Linked DNA regions of Saccharomyces cerevisiae S288C. The gene in region 3 interacts genetically with the main gene of each other region. Each region holds a gene or a part of one and is shown on either strand. Other genes may lie near its edges. The genes, in order: TRP1, REB1, PET9 and VPH2.

Region 1 (2,917 bases), on a different chromosome or scaffold from region 3:
TGTTATCTATCTGCATGAACACGAAATCTTTACTTGACGACTTGAGGCTGATGGTGTTTATGCAAAGAAACCACTGTGTTTAATATGTGTCACTGTTTGATATTACTGTCAGCGTAGAAGATAATAGTAAAAGCGGTTAATAAGTGTATTTGAGATAAGTGTGATAAAGTTTTTACAGCGAAAAGACGATAAATACAAGAAAATGATTACGAGGATACGGAGAGAGGTATGTACATGTGTATTTATATACTAAGCTGCCGGCGGTTGTTTGCAAGACCGAGAAAAGGCTAGCAAGAATCGGGTCATTGTAGCGTATGCGCCTGTGAACATTCTCTTCAACAAGTTTGATTCCATTGCGGTGAAATGGTAAAAGTCAACCCCCTGCGATGTATATTTTCCTGTACAATCAATCAAAAAGCCAAATGATTTAGCATTATCTTTACATCTTGTTATTTTACAGATTTTATGTTTAGATCTTTTATGCTTGCTTTTCAAAAGGCCTGCAGGCAAGTGCACAAACAATACTTAAATAAATACTACTCAGTAATAACCTATTTCTTAGCATTTTTGACGAAATTTGCTATTTTGTTAGAGTCTTTTACACCATTTGTCTCCACACCTCCGCTTACATCAACACCAATAACGCCATTTAATCTAAGCGCATCACCAACATTTTCTGGCGTCAGTCCACCAGCTAACATAAAATGTAAGCTTTCGGGGCTCTCTTGCCTTCCAACCCAGTCAGAAATCGAGTTCCAATCCAAAAGTTCACCTGTCCCACCTGCTTCTGAATCAAACAAGGGAATAAACGAATGAGGTTTCTGTGAAGCTGCACTGAGTAGTATGTTGCAGTCTTTTGGAAATACGAGTCTTTTAATAACTGGCAAACCGAGGAACTCTTGGTATTCTTGCCACGACTCATCTCCATGCAGTTGGACGATATCAATGCCGTAATCATTGACCAGAGCCAAAACATCCTCCTTAGGTTGATTACGAAACACGCCAACCAAGTATTTCGGAGTGCCTGAACTATTTTTATATGCTTTTACAAGACTTGAAATTTTCCTTGCAATAACCGGGTCAATTGTTCTCTTTCTATTGGGCACACATATAATACCCAGCAAGTCAGCATCGGAATCTAGAGCACATTCTGCGGCCTCTGTGCTCTGCAAGCCGCAAACTTTCACCAATGGACCAGAACTACCTGTGAAATTAATAACAGACATACTCCAAGCTGCCTTTGTGTGCTTAATCACGTATACTCACGTGCTCAATAGTCACCAATGCCCTCCCTCTTGGCCCTCTCCTTTTCTTTTTTCGACCGAATTCTTAATCGGCAAAAAAAGAAAAGCTCCGGATCAAGATTGTACGTAAGGTGACAAGCTATTTTTCAATAAAGAATATCTTCCACTACTGCCATCTGGCGTCATAACTGCAAAGTACACATATATTACGATGCTGTTCTATTAAATGCTTCCTATATTATATATATAGTAATGTCGTTAACCGTTGATTTTTACTGATTGGTCTCTGCCGTGCGGGTGAGCGGCGCGTCCAGACGGGCGGGTGCACGTTTCTTTTTCTGACCATTTCCCTGTCAGCTCTTTTAGATCGGGGCTGCCGTTTGAAAAGTTTTATCATCGCCAGACATGCCATAAGGAATATCTCCACCGCCTCTAACTGTCCCTAACTCGGTCTCTTTCTTATAACTACCATTACTCAGTGTTGAGAGATTGGTAGAAATATACGCGTATACGTTCATTCAAGACTTATTTTCAGCCAGTAATATTCCCTACTCCTCTTCCGTTTTCAGAATAGAGATGGACCAGCCAAGGACCCATTCAGGACCCACGACGGCCAGCAATCCTGCCCCCAGCTCCACCAACTCGTCATCTGCTCCCAGCGCGACTAATTCAAAGCAGGAAAGATCCTCTTCGTCACTGTCCAAACCTTCGTCAGTGGTTCCTTCAAAGGATTCACCAGATGGTGACGCTATTGCTAAGACTCAAGCAGCCGCTTTAAAAAACGACATGAAATCTGGTGATACCAGTACATTAGATGGGTCATCTCAAAATATAATTCCAAACAGAGCCTCAATGCAAAAATATATTGACCAGTCATCAGATCTGCTGTCGAGGAGCTCCGGCGTAATAACGCCCTCCATGTCTTTGAATGCAAGCACTAACGCCACTAACAACGATAGCAGTGGCAATTCAGCTAATAGTAGTGATTTGAAGATCCCTATAGACAGGGACAATACTATATTCAAGACGTTCGACACCAAGACTGGTCAATTCTTGAAAAACGATGATAATGAAGAAGAAATAAGGAGGAACAATAAAGTTGATTCGATACCCCCAAAGAATATTTATACTAATATCAACAATCCATCTCCCTCCCCACCACCGTCGTCAAAGCAACCACCGTCTGCATCCGCGCCGCAATTGCCACCAGCAACGGAACCACACAAAGAACAAGCAGCACAACAACAGCCACCAGGAAATGCTTCTAACTTTTTAAGGATCTTTTCAAATAAAAAAATGAGGTCGCATTCCGTACCCACTATTTTGCATTCTTCTTTAAGAAAATTATCATCCCACAATCAATACTATCGTAATCAAAATATTCTTTTAAATCATCCAACTCCTTCCGGCATATCAAAGAAAAAATTTTCTAGAAACCATCATCAACCATATTTGCATTCTAATAATCCTCTCAGTTCAAACCCTCTTTCATTAAAGCGCGCAATTTTTTTAAATCAACAAATATCAGGTAACGCAAGCACTAACGCTAATAATGACAACATTAATAATTCCACTGCCACTTCAATGACAAATCAAAGCTTCCTATCAAGCTCAAACTTTGACTTAACTTTGGAAGATAGAATAAACTACATAAAGGCTACTCCAACGCCTGT
Region 2 (4,907 bases), 170 kb from region 3:
AAAACCGTATATATCTTTACATAAGTACGATATGGTATAACTGTAACATTGAAGGACTGAAGGACTGAAGGACTGAAGGACTATAGTCAAGGGCCAATGGGGAAGGTCCCTTCCAGGCCATTTGCCCGATAGTTTGTCCTTCTCTTGCTTTTCCGACGGCCCGATTGCATGTGGCGGGGCAGCACTGGATAAAAAAACGTGGGGGGAGTGATTAAATTTATACGCTTATTGTGTCAACACGGAAACCTTATAGTTATCATTACTAACATCGCAACAAGCTGCTTTTTTACTCGTTTTTAGCCACACCATACCCCCTTTAATTAACTAATAATGCATAAAATAGTTATTGCTTCTTGAGTTGCAGCTTCTTCCTGGACGTACTGTTATATATGGCATGTCTTCGCATGTCCGTCAAATTTAGCGTTGTCTCGAAACTTAGGCTGTCGTTCTTGCTGTCTGTCTTCTGATAAAATAATATATTGGAATAAGAAAAAAAAAATAGGAACAAGAAAGTGTGTGAGAATGACTTTGAGTAATTGCGACTCTTTGGATAACTTATTCCAGGACCCTCCAGAGGAAGAAGAAAGTAGTAAATTCGTTGAGGCGGTCAGAACTTTGATGAATAGAAACGATATGGGATATCCTCCCGCCGCTGCAAATGGTACGTATTGCTTAAAAAAAATCAAGTCTTTGAATGCCAAACAGTGGAAAATAAACAAGAAAAGAATGTGCATGTTGCCAGCAGTAAAGAAGAAAAATTTCGACTTTCACGAGCAAAGAAGTTTAATCTTGAATTTAAATTTATGGAAATTCATCAAGTTTATCAATTGTAGTAGTAAAAACAATTACAATAAAAATAATAAGCATGTGAGAAGCTCGAACAACACTGTAAAAAATGAAAATGTTTTACCGTTACAAAAACACAAGAAAGTGGACAATGATCAAAGATTGGAGAACCTTTTTTGGAGAAGCTGGTTTAAGGCACGCAAAAGGAGAGATATAATGGGCAAGCCACGAGAGAGGCATATCAAATTTAACGATAACGTTGAACAGTGTATTATAACTGATGAGCATTTCATACAAAGGCTTCCTTCTACACGGTTGAATTCGACTGATGAACAGCGCCCTTGTTCAAAGTCTGAACTAGATCCCTGTATTGGCAACGCAGCAAGTAAGCGAAGTTTCTATGATTATAACAGCGTTTACGTCGCGAGTGACGCAATTATTACGACTGCCGCTGCCACTGCCATTATCAGTAGTAATAGTGGAGACTATCAGCGTGGGCACGATGTTCGCGATGTTCCAAGAAATGTTTTGTTACAGGCAGGAGAAACAGATTTCAGTAGTGTGCTTCGGGTTGACTCCGATCTCAAGTTATCCAACATAAGTCATCATTCCCCCGTAAAACCTTCGTCAACTTCAAGTCATTCGACCTTCATTTTCGAGTCGGAAACTGACACTGATACTGATACTGACGCTGAAACAGAAAATGACATTGACGCTTACATAGACACCAGTATACCCAACCTGCTCCTATAAATTTTACGTAAACTTTCAATACATTGAAATTGTGTCTCATTTTCTTCTAGAAGCTCCTCGGAAAAATTGATCACGTGATATATAGCAACAACTTTGTTACCCGTCTTTCAAATTGGGCCCATGCCGGGTGGCAAACCAAAGGCGGCCAAGGGACCTACCCTCACAAAGGACAACGACAAACAAATGGCAGCTTTCTTGACCACACAAGATAAAACAACAAAACTCAGGCTGTTATTACCCTGCTGTGGACCCAACCTAAAGTAAATAAATAAACATCATCACAAGCAAGGTTATCTACACACTATCGTTATTAGTTTGAACTCACGTGTTGCTGCTGAATTAGAATATTTATAGCTCAATCAATATGCCTTCAGGTCATAACGATAAAAACGCAAATCAAGAGTCTGTGGAAGAGGCTGTTTTGAAATATGTCGGTGTAGGTCTAGATCACCAGAACCATGACCCTCAATTGCATACGAAGGATCTGGAAAACAAACACTCGAAAAAGCAGAATATTGTGGAAAGTAGTAGTGATGTTGATGTTAATAACAATGATGACAGTAATAGAAACGAGGATAATAATGATGATTCTGAAAATATTAGCGCATTGAATGCGAACGAATCATCTTCGAATGTGGATCATGCCAACTCCAATGAACAACATAACGCAGTTATGGATTGGTATTTAAGGCAAACAGCGCATAATCAACAAGACGACGAAGATGACGAAAACAATAATAACACTGACAACGGCAATGACAGTAATAATCACTTTTCTCAATCTGACATAGTCGTGGATGACGACGACGACAAGAATAAGAAAGATGCGGGTGTTGGTGTGGACGATGATCATCAATCTATGGCGATGGCCGCCGTCGCTGCTGCTTACACTCTATCGAAAAATAACAATAATAATAACAGTATTGCGAACGATAGCAATTCGCGTAAAAGACAGCATGATAACGGAAATAATCATGAGAATTCACAGAAAAAGCGGAAAAACAATAATGATGACGATGACAGACAAATTGGAAACGTAGATCCGGAATTAACCACCTTGGGTGATGCAGATGACAACGATACTAATAATGATGTGATTGATCGTGATCAACTGGTCCATAAGGCCATTATCGACGCTGATTCGATTACCCAACATCCTGATTTCCAGCAATACTTGAATACTGCGGCTGATACTGACGATAACGAAAAATTAAAGCATATTAAAGATCATTTGATGCGTACACACGGTTTGAATCATCAGAACAAGAATCACAATGATGATACAGATGATTTATCAAATAGTACAAAGCAATACTCTGAACTGCAGAAAGACTCTATGCTGGATAGTTCCCTCAACAAATCTAGAAATTATATGGAAGTCTTGCCCAAAGTTATCTCTCAAGATACTCAACCACACCAACAAAAATCTCCCTCTCATGATAATGAAGCTGGCAGCGTGGACAATTCAGAAATATCTCAACTACTTCAATCAGCCGCCACAAAGGCATCATCTTTGGTATCTTTATCCTCATCCTCAGCAACGCCATCGACTTCAAGGTCTAACAATAGCAAAGCTTTTGATAAAGCCGAAGACGCCGCTTTAGAAAGATTTATTAACGAGTATGAGGCCATTGAACGTTTGACTAGACAACAAGTTTGTGAAAGGATATGGAGTTCCGACAGGCCAAAGGACAACTTTTGGAATAATATTTACAAAGTCTTACCCTATAGATCTAGCTCCTCTATCTACAAACACATGAGAAGAAAATATCACATTTTTGAACAACGTGGTAAATGGACCGCGGAGGAGGAACAAGAGCTAGCTAAATTATGTGCAGAAAAAGAAGGTCAATGGGCAGAAATAGGTAAAACTTTAGGCAGAATGCCAGAAGATTGTAGGGATCGTTGGAGAAACTACGTAAAATGTGGTACCAATAGAGCATCAAATAGATGGTCCGTTGAAGAAGAAGAGCTTCTGAAAAAGGTTATCAGCGATATGTTGGAAGAAGCCCAGCAACAACAGTCTCAATTGCATCCAAACTTATTGGAAGAAGAACAGCATTTACTGCAAGATGACCAGAATGATCATCGCAATAACGATGAAGACGATGATGATACAGCTTCTGCAGCAGCAGCTGCTGCTGCTGCTATTCAAGAACAACAACAACTTCTTCAACAAAAGCAGCAAGATGATGACGATGCTATTGCCGCTGCTGCCGCTGCTGCTTCTTCATCCCTGGGAGACAACAAAGACGAAGACAAACCCCACGATTCATTAGGTATACAGCTCGATGATAATTCCCAGAACTCAATGGTACCTGCTCCATCAGCAACAAGCACACATTCTAAAAGTTTGTCAAATACAATCAGACGTCACAATAATAAACTGAGGAAATCTTTGATGGGTAACGGTAAGTTAGATTTCAAAGACATCATTAACTGGACCATTGTCAGTGAGCGTATGGGCGGTACGAGATCACGTATTCAATGTCGTTATAAATGGAATAAATTGGTCAAAAGGGAAGCAATTGCCAAAATTCAGACTGTAAAAGATGATGATATGTTATGGATTTTTGAAAAATTAAGAGATTTAGGTATAACAGAAGATTCTCAAGTAGATTGGGATGAACTTGCAGCTTTGAAGCCTGGCATGAAATTAAATGGGTTAGAGTTGAAATTGTGCTATGAAAGAATGAAGAAAAAGGTCAAAGGCTATAAGCAAAAATCAATCAATGAAATCAGTAAAGAGCTAGTTGATTATTTTAGCTCCAATATTTCAATGAAAACAGAAAATTAATTCCGGAAAATATAATTGGTGAAAGCGAAAAACTCAATAATGTTTGATAGTACGCGTTATTTTTCATCATTTATCTTTTTTTTAGCCCTGTAACAATTTGGCAAATCTTGTCTTCACTTATTGCCGGATATTGACTTTCTTTTTCTTCCTTGACGCCAACTGTTTTTATTTCCAACTTACACATGGAGCCGTTGTATTTATATTATTTTACCTATATGTATAATGAATTTTATTCTTTCTCTTACAAGTTAGTTTGATTTCTTCTGCCTACATTCTTGGAAGGACTGGCCAAGCGCGGCGTGTACGAAAGGAAATAAACAATAAGCAGGTGGAACTCATCAGTCGTTTGCCGAGATGTGATTATTAAAGATGTCATTCATATATTCAAGTTAAAAAATATATAGAATTGATAAGCCATATATAGAAACAATTACTAAAGAGAGAAAAAAACCAAGTCTGGTAAAAGAAAAAGAAAAAGAGCCTAATATACGACACTTTGGTTCAAATAATTCACCAGAAGTCCTACGTTTTATCCTCCACTTATTATTATATCATCTTGTTAATTTTATTT
Region 3 (3,423 bases):
GCAAGGAACAAATTCGCAATTGAAGAATTCAGTTTCCGTTTTTGATAGACTTTACAAGCAAACAACGTTCTCTAGGTCGACGTCTATGAACAACTTATCGTCAGGAACCTCTGCAAAATCCAAGGAACACACAAATGTAAAGACTCGGTTGGTTAAAAGTAAGACAAGTGGTTCATTGTCCAGTAACCTTAAGCAAAGTACTGCCACCGGCACAAAGAGTGATAGACCTATTTGGCGGTGATTAAGTAATAAAAAAATTGCATTTTATAAGAAACATCATGTGATGACATTTAAAAAGTGGGAAAGAATACTACTAATATAAAACTATTTACTGGATATTTAGAATTTTTTTTTTTTCTTCTTTATACGTAAAAGTTGTTCAAAAAATTTCATCGTTTTCTTTTTTTATGAATCTTTGATTCTTGTTGAAAAGAATTTCTAAAAAAATAGGAGGATAATAATATTATCAAAACAAATCGTGTCACTCATTAAACACCAAAAATCCAAAGAAGAAAAAAAGGAAAATGTGAGAAAGAATTTAGATTAAGAATCAAGCCAGATTAGACTTATTTGAACTTCTTACCAAACAAGATCATTTGCAGTTGGTCGTACATTGAGATAACACCAGCACCTGCGACACCTCTTAAGATGTTAGCACCACAACCCTTGAATAGAGAACCAACACCTTCAGCAGCAACAATCTTCCTCAAACAGTCAAAGGCACCGTCGTACTTAACAGCTTGACCGGAGGTCATCATCATTCTTCTTCTAACGGTATCCAATGGGTAAGAACATGTAGAAGCACCAGTAGTAACAACCCAACCCAACAAGAATGAAGCCAAGAATGAACCTTCCAAAGAACCAGTCAACAATAGAGGCTTCAAAGAATCGTACATACCGAAGTATAGACCTCTGTAGACAACAATACCAACGACAGAAGGTAAGAAACCTCTGTAAAGACCAGCAACACCATCAGATTTTAAGGTCTTCTTGTAGACATCGATCAAACCGTTGAATTGACGAGCACCACCCTTTTTAGAGGACTTGGAGTCAGCAGCCAATCTAGTTCTTGCATAATCCAAAGAGTAAACAAATAGTAATGACAAGGCACCAGCAGCACCACCAGATGCCAAGTTACCGGCAAACCATTTGGCGTAACCTTCTTCCTTCTTGAAACCAAACATGGCCTTGATCTTGTCCTTGAAGGCGAAATTCAAAGCTTGAGTGGGGAAATAACGGATAACGTTAGCAGTGTTACCTCTCCAGAATGAGATAACACCTTCCTGTGTAGCGGTTCTCTTGAAACAGTCTAAGATACCTGCGTATTTTCTGTCCAAAGTACCTTGTTTTAACATTTCATCTTGGTTTTGGATCAAAAGTTTAACTCTTTCGATGGGAGATGCAGCAGTTTTGGCGACAGCGGCACTGACACCACCCATTAAGAAATCAATCAAAAAGTTAGATTCCTTCTTTGGAGCTGGGGCTGGAGGTAATGGGGTTTTGACTTGGGCGTTGGAAGACATGGCTATTTGCTTATATGTATGTTAATGTATGATTCTGAAGTATAAAAGAGCACACAAAAAAGAACAACGACAAATATAAATAATATAGAGGGGCTCCTTTGACTTGTAGATGTATTGCAATGTTCCGTATAACTAACAGTGAATATATACTTTTTTGAGTGGGTTGTCGTGAAAAATTAATATTAAAAACTCAAATGGTATTTATATTGTGCGACGACGTGGGCCCGATCGACGGAGACATGTCCCCGATAATCGCACCTCACCCTCTGAGAGTGGGGCCTTCTCATTGGCCCGCGCTCTACACCAATCAGCATAGCGCATTTACCGCCTTTCGCTTGTTCTCCATTGGAAACAGTGCTCGTGCATCGTGATGTTATTTGTTACGTATGGAAAAATCGTGTCTATACTTCTGTATAATATATGTATGGTTATAGTGAACACATATATATAAATACATATATAAGAGGAAGAAAAGGAAATTATTTCGTTATCAGTTGGGCTGCTTTTGTCGTAAGTTTTGTTGTTCTTGAATGACTTTATTAAGCTGTTCGTCATTCTTAAAATCTTGTCGCCAATTGCATATGGGGCAGTGCAACTGTTTTCCCCAGAAGACCGGAACCAACGGTATAAACCAAATAGTGAAAAATTCCTTTCTTTTTATGGGGCCGACACTATAATTGTGACAATTCGGGCAATACAGGTTTTGATGTCCGGGAACGGTATCGTATGAAGAGTCGAAACTCTTCATACCACATACAATAGGTATGAATGACATGGTAATTTTTTCTTTTTGAGGTTGTGTATTAAGTTGCTTATCTGATTTCACTTTACACCAATCTTCCTTGCTGACATTTATTCCCAACTTGTTCTTCAGCCGCTTGTTTTATAACGTACATTATTGTAAAAACGGAGTAGAAAGGGAAAAAGGGAAAGGGATGGACGTGGCTAATGCGCATCTTCGTTTGTGTGTATATCCTTTGATCTTCACTACATAATTTGTTACCCGACAATGCTTTTTTTTTTTTCTCAATTTTCATCTCTTTTCTTTTTCCTCATTTCTTATGAAAATCAGTGTGACTAAAATGAGACTTCGTATTTTTTGTAGAGGCACCATACGCCGGCTCCGCCGTCACCACATTCTCCCCTGCCGGTAAAGACCGGCGCACGCGGAAAAGGCGTACATAGCGTCGGGCGGTAACGGAGTCATTCCATCGCTGATAATTACCCCTTGCAGCAAACCCAGAGCCCTATTACGAATCTAGCCCATACACCGCGTTAGAGCACTCGCCGTTTTGCTCCGGGTCGTGCCGTCGTACATGCATACGCGTCCTGCAGGCATACCATAAGCCCACATACAATCACCTGTAGAAAGAAACAAAGCTTGTGTATGTAATCAAAGCAGAAATCTGATGGGTTCGAACGACTTCGTTATAGAAATATTATCTTTGGGTCTCGTCCTGCGTTATTCCTCCTGTCTCCTGCCGCTTTGATAACCTTTTCATTCCTCCCCTTAACTTGTTATTTCGTGTTACGATATTGGGTAACTTAGTAGCGTAAATGGTAAAATGTAGGGACTCAATCTCATAGGTGGTTATGTTTTTCGTTCTCATTTTTCAAATCTGTGACTTCACAGACAAAACGCGTAGTGATTTCTTTATCTGAATGAGCCTTCGAAAAAAAAAACAACGATTTCTTATGCAGTTAGTCGGCCAGTTGGTTATTGACTATCTGTGCGATTCCCCTTCCTGCATAAAAATAAACACAATCTTAATACGCCATACGTTGACTCCATTTTTTGCTCGTTTCATTATATTATCTTCCCATGCCGCTCCTGCGTGGGATTCCCTTTATTATAACTTTTAAGGTTTCTACCCACATATATGCAATTTTTATCATGTTT
Region 4 (2,965 bases), on a different chromosome or scaffold from region 3:
TCACTTCCGGCTCTATTTCCTCTTCTTCATCTTCTTCATCGTTTTCTTTGAAATCTCCCATGTCCAAATTACCACCGCTTTGAGCCAATAATTGCTGCAATTGAGCCATATCTGGAGAACCAGCGCCACCAGCACCTCCCATCATTTGGCTGAAGTCCATGCCTCCAGCACCTCCAGCACCTCCAGCACCTCCCATCATTTGGCTGAAATCCATTCCTTGAGCGGCATCATTACCTTCAGCTTCAACTTCGTCTTGTTCATCTTCATCAACCCATTTATCGAAATCAGTTTTGATGTAAGGGTACTTCACCTTTTCCTTTGTCAAACGTGGCCAGTATTCAGATTCTAAATCCTTTTTATACAATTTCAAAAAGTAGTGCTGGCCATTAGCAACCTTATGCATTGTTTTTTCAGGTATAATTTCCTTGTATAGATCAATGTGTAATTGATAATGATGGACATTTTCATCGCCAACATGAGGCTTTGATTGAGCCTTTAATTCGATGTATGATGGCTTAATGGTTAACTCAGGGGCATCACAGTCTGCAATTGACACAGTTATTAAGACATAATTTCTTTCTGGATCAGTAGTACTAGACCTTTGAGCCCATGCAACTTGAGGGTTAATAACTTTATCGGACATGACTATTATGAATCGATGATCTTGGGAACTTGTTGTTGTAATGAATTGAGTCCACTAGGTTTCTCGAACAAGTTAATACATTGCCACCCATTTCGTCTTTTTATGCTTTTTTCCATGCTAATTCTTGCCGCTCCTCTCCGCCCCTTCAAAAACACTCGGAAGGCGGGTAGCATTAAAAGTCGAACAGTTTGTTGGTAACTTTTGTAGGTATATGTGTACCAATAACCACAAATTAAGTATTGATTATCACAGTCAACCTCTTTGTATATCAAAAATTATACTCTGTATTCATAAAAGGCAGTTATTTTAAAAGCAAGTAACGGCAGGAAAAAAATTATTAATAAGTATAAAAAGATTGGACGAGTCCGGAATCGAACCGGAGACCTCTCCCATGCTAAGGGAGCGCGCTACCGACTACGCCACACGCCCTATTTACTGTTAGTGTATTTCCACTTAGATTACTATAACAAGCTCTTTTAAACAATAAAACAGTTCTATAACAACCGATTTACGAAATTCTTCTGAGTAAATGAGGTCACAAATGAACTTTCTTTAACTTCCTCTTTGTCTCCATTCGTTTTTCCATGCTTTTTTTGTTTCTGTCGAAATGAAATCCTTGTATCATCTATTGGCTAGTATTCGTCTTCCTAGAATATTATCACAGCGGTGTAAGATGATGACATAGAGATTGGGAAACAGTTATCGGTCTTAATGGAAGCTGAAATGCAAGGATTGATAACGTGATAGGGTAATGAATGGCAAAGTATAGAAGAAAAGAAGTTAGAGTAATATTATCATGTAGAAAGACCGATTCCATTTTGAGGTTTCCTATACCCTCGAGGGGAACTTTTAGGATATTCTGTGTATCTCATACTATAGTCTTTAACTATGATTGAATCCGAACAATTATATTGTTCACGAAATACTCAGTTTTACAAAAATCTTGTGTATTTAACTGACTCAAAGTAGACATGACGGACGTGTGAATATTTAAAATGAGAAACGAGGAAGCGAAAATAAAGCAAATCTCACATGAAAACGCTGAAAGAAATGAAGAAAAGGTAAGATAGGATAATTGACGATTGGCATCACATAAAAGAACTCTAATGTTCGAAATTAAACTGAATGATAGAATAACTGAATTTCTGCGAAAGTTCAAGAATAGCGCGAAATCAAACGAAGGAATTGATGAGGACATTGATTTGTTCCTGAAGCGACACGCAATACCTATGCAGTCACTTCTTTTTTATGTGAAAGAGTATAGAAAAGACAGTGATCTCCAATGCTCTATCAAAGAACTTTTGAAACCTTTGGAGTTCGAATTCAAGCCCAAGGCCGTCAGAGGTTTACACTATTCAGAGGATTTCAAGAAAAAATTAGAGTTTTTGAAATATCAGGAACAAGAACTTGAATATCAAAGTATGGTCAAGAGAAGCAAGTCTGTCTTTTCACTTCAAGAAGACGATGAACTCACGCCTTCACAAATTAATAAACAGATTAAGGAACAAGTTACCACTGTTTTCAACGTTCTTGTAAGTGTCATATCGGTTGTTGTGGCCATTTGGTACTGGACCGGATCTTCAACAAACTTTCCGGTCCATGTTCGTCTTTTGTTGTGCTTGTTCTTTGGAATATTGGTCTTAGTAGCAGATGTGGTTGTGTATAACAGCTATCTGAAAAAACTCGAAGAAGCAAAAGTAAAAGAAAAAACAAAGGTTGAGAAAAAGAAAGTTCTAAGCAAGATTACACTGTAACTGATCATTTTATAAATAAGAACTCCGAGATCCGAGAGCATATAATTCTTGGAACTGGACAATTGTGAATAATGTTCTGTATGTTTATAATTACGTTTATAAAACTATCGTGTATGAATGTGAAATAAAAAATGCTCTATTATCCTTAATGCTACATAATATGAAGAAAAAGGTTGTAATGAAACCATTAGTAAAGTAGAACTGTCCTGGCCAATGAATGAAACTTCAAACCTCGGAGTTTGTTATGGGAATTAATTATGGCCTAAAACTCTCGACTCTATCGAATAAACTAGTTTCATTGTCTGTTCCATGAAGGTCAAACACATGATTGTATGAGGTGCGATTCTGAACACTTGAGCTGCAAAACCCTTATACAAAGCGGTTACACCTTCGATTCTAACAGTTTTGACCAAACAATCTATAGGTCCCTTGTACAAGTCACCTTTTTGATTATAGATTCTTGTCAAAATGACATCCCATGGGTTCATAACGACGGCAACACCTAACCCAGAGATAGTACTAGCAGTTAAATGTAATGCTGGGCCATCTTTCATCAGATCATTTTTGA

What was found.
Region 1: of PET9 (region 3) and TRP1, extra expression of one impairs growth in a mutant of the other (dosage growth defect), as found in Saccharomyces cerevisiae (one study listed by BioGRID).
Region 2: of PET9 (region 3) and REB1, extra expression of one rescues a mutant of the other (dosage rescue), as found in Saccharomyces cerevisiae (one study listed by BioGRID).
Region 4: of PET9 (region 3) and VPH2, extra expression of one impairs growth in a mutant of the other (dosage growth defect), as found in Saccharomyces cerevisiae (one study listed by BioGRID).

What each region holds. Positions count from the first base shown.
Region 1 is NC_001136.10:460,151-463,067, reverse strand, and holds TRP1 (phosphoribosylanthranilate isomerase TRP1), read right to left. Parts: upstream 1,227-2,917; coding exon 552-1,226; downstream 1-551. Other genes in the region: SOK1 (Sok1p), read left to right, coding at 1,821-2,917.
Region 2 is NC_001134.8:333,815-338,721, reverse strand, and holds REB1 (DNA-binding protein REB1), read left to right. Parts: upstream 1-1,903; coding exon 1,904-4,336; downstream 4,337-4,907. Other genes in the region: RFS1 (flavodoxin-like fold family protein), read left to right, coding at 1-2; protein phosphatase regulator REG2, read left to right, coding at 523-1,539. UniProt on the Saccharomyces cerevisiae protein: DNA-binding protein that recognizes sites within both the enhancer and the promoter of rRNA transcription, as well as upstream of many genes transcribed by RNA polymerase II. It is essential for cell growth. May stimulate or inhibit transcription.
Region 3 is NC_001134.8:162,475-165,897, forward strand, and holds PET9 (ADP/ATP carrier protein PET9), read right to left. Parts: upstream 1,524-3,423; coding exon 567-1,523; downstream 1-566. Other genes in the region: SHE1 (She1p), read left to right, coding at 1-241; YBL029C-A (uncharacterized protein), read right to left, coding at 2,014-2,298.
Region 4 is NC_001143.9:218,002-220,966, reverse strand, and holds VPH2 (Vph2p), read left to right. Parts: upstream 1-1,749; coding exon 1,750-2,397; downstream 2,398-2,965. Other genes in the region: Hsp90 cochaperone SBA1, read right to left, coding at 1-643; OAC1 (Oac1p), read right to left, coding at 2,649-2,965. UniProt on the Saccharomyces cerevisiae protein: Required for vacuolar ATPase assembly.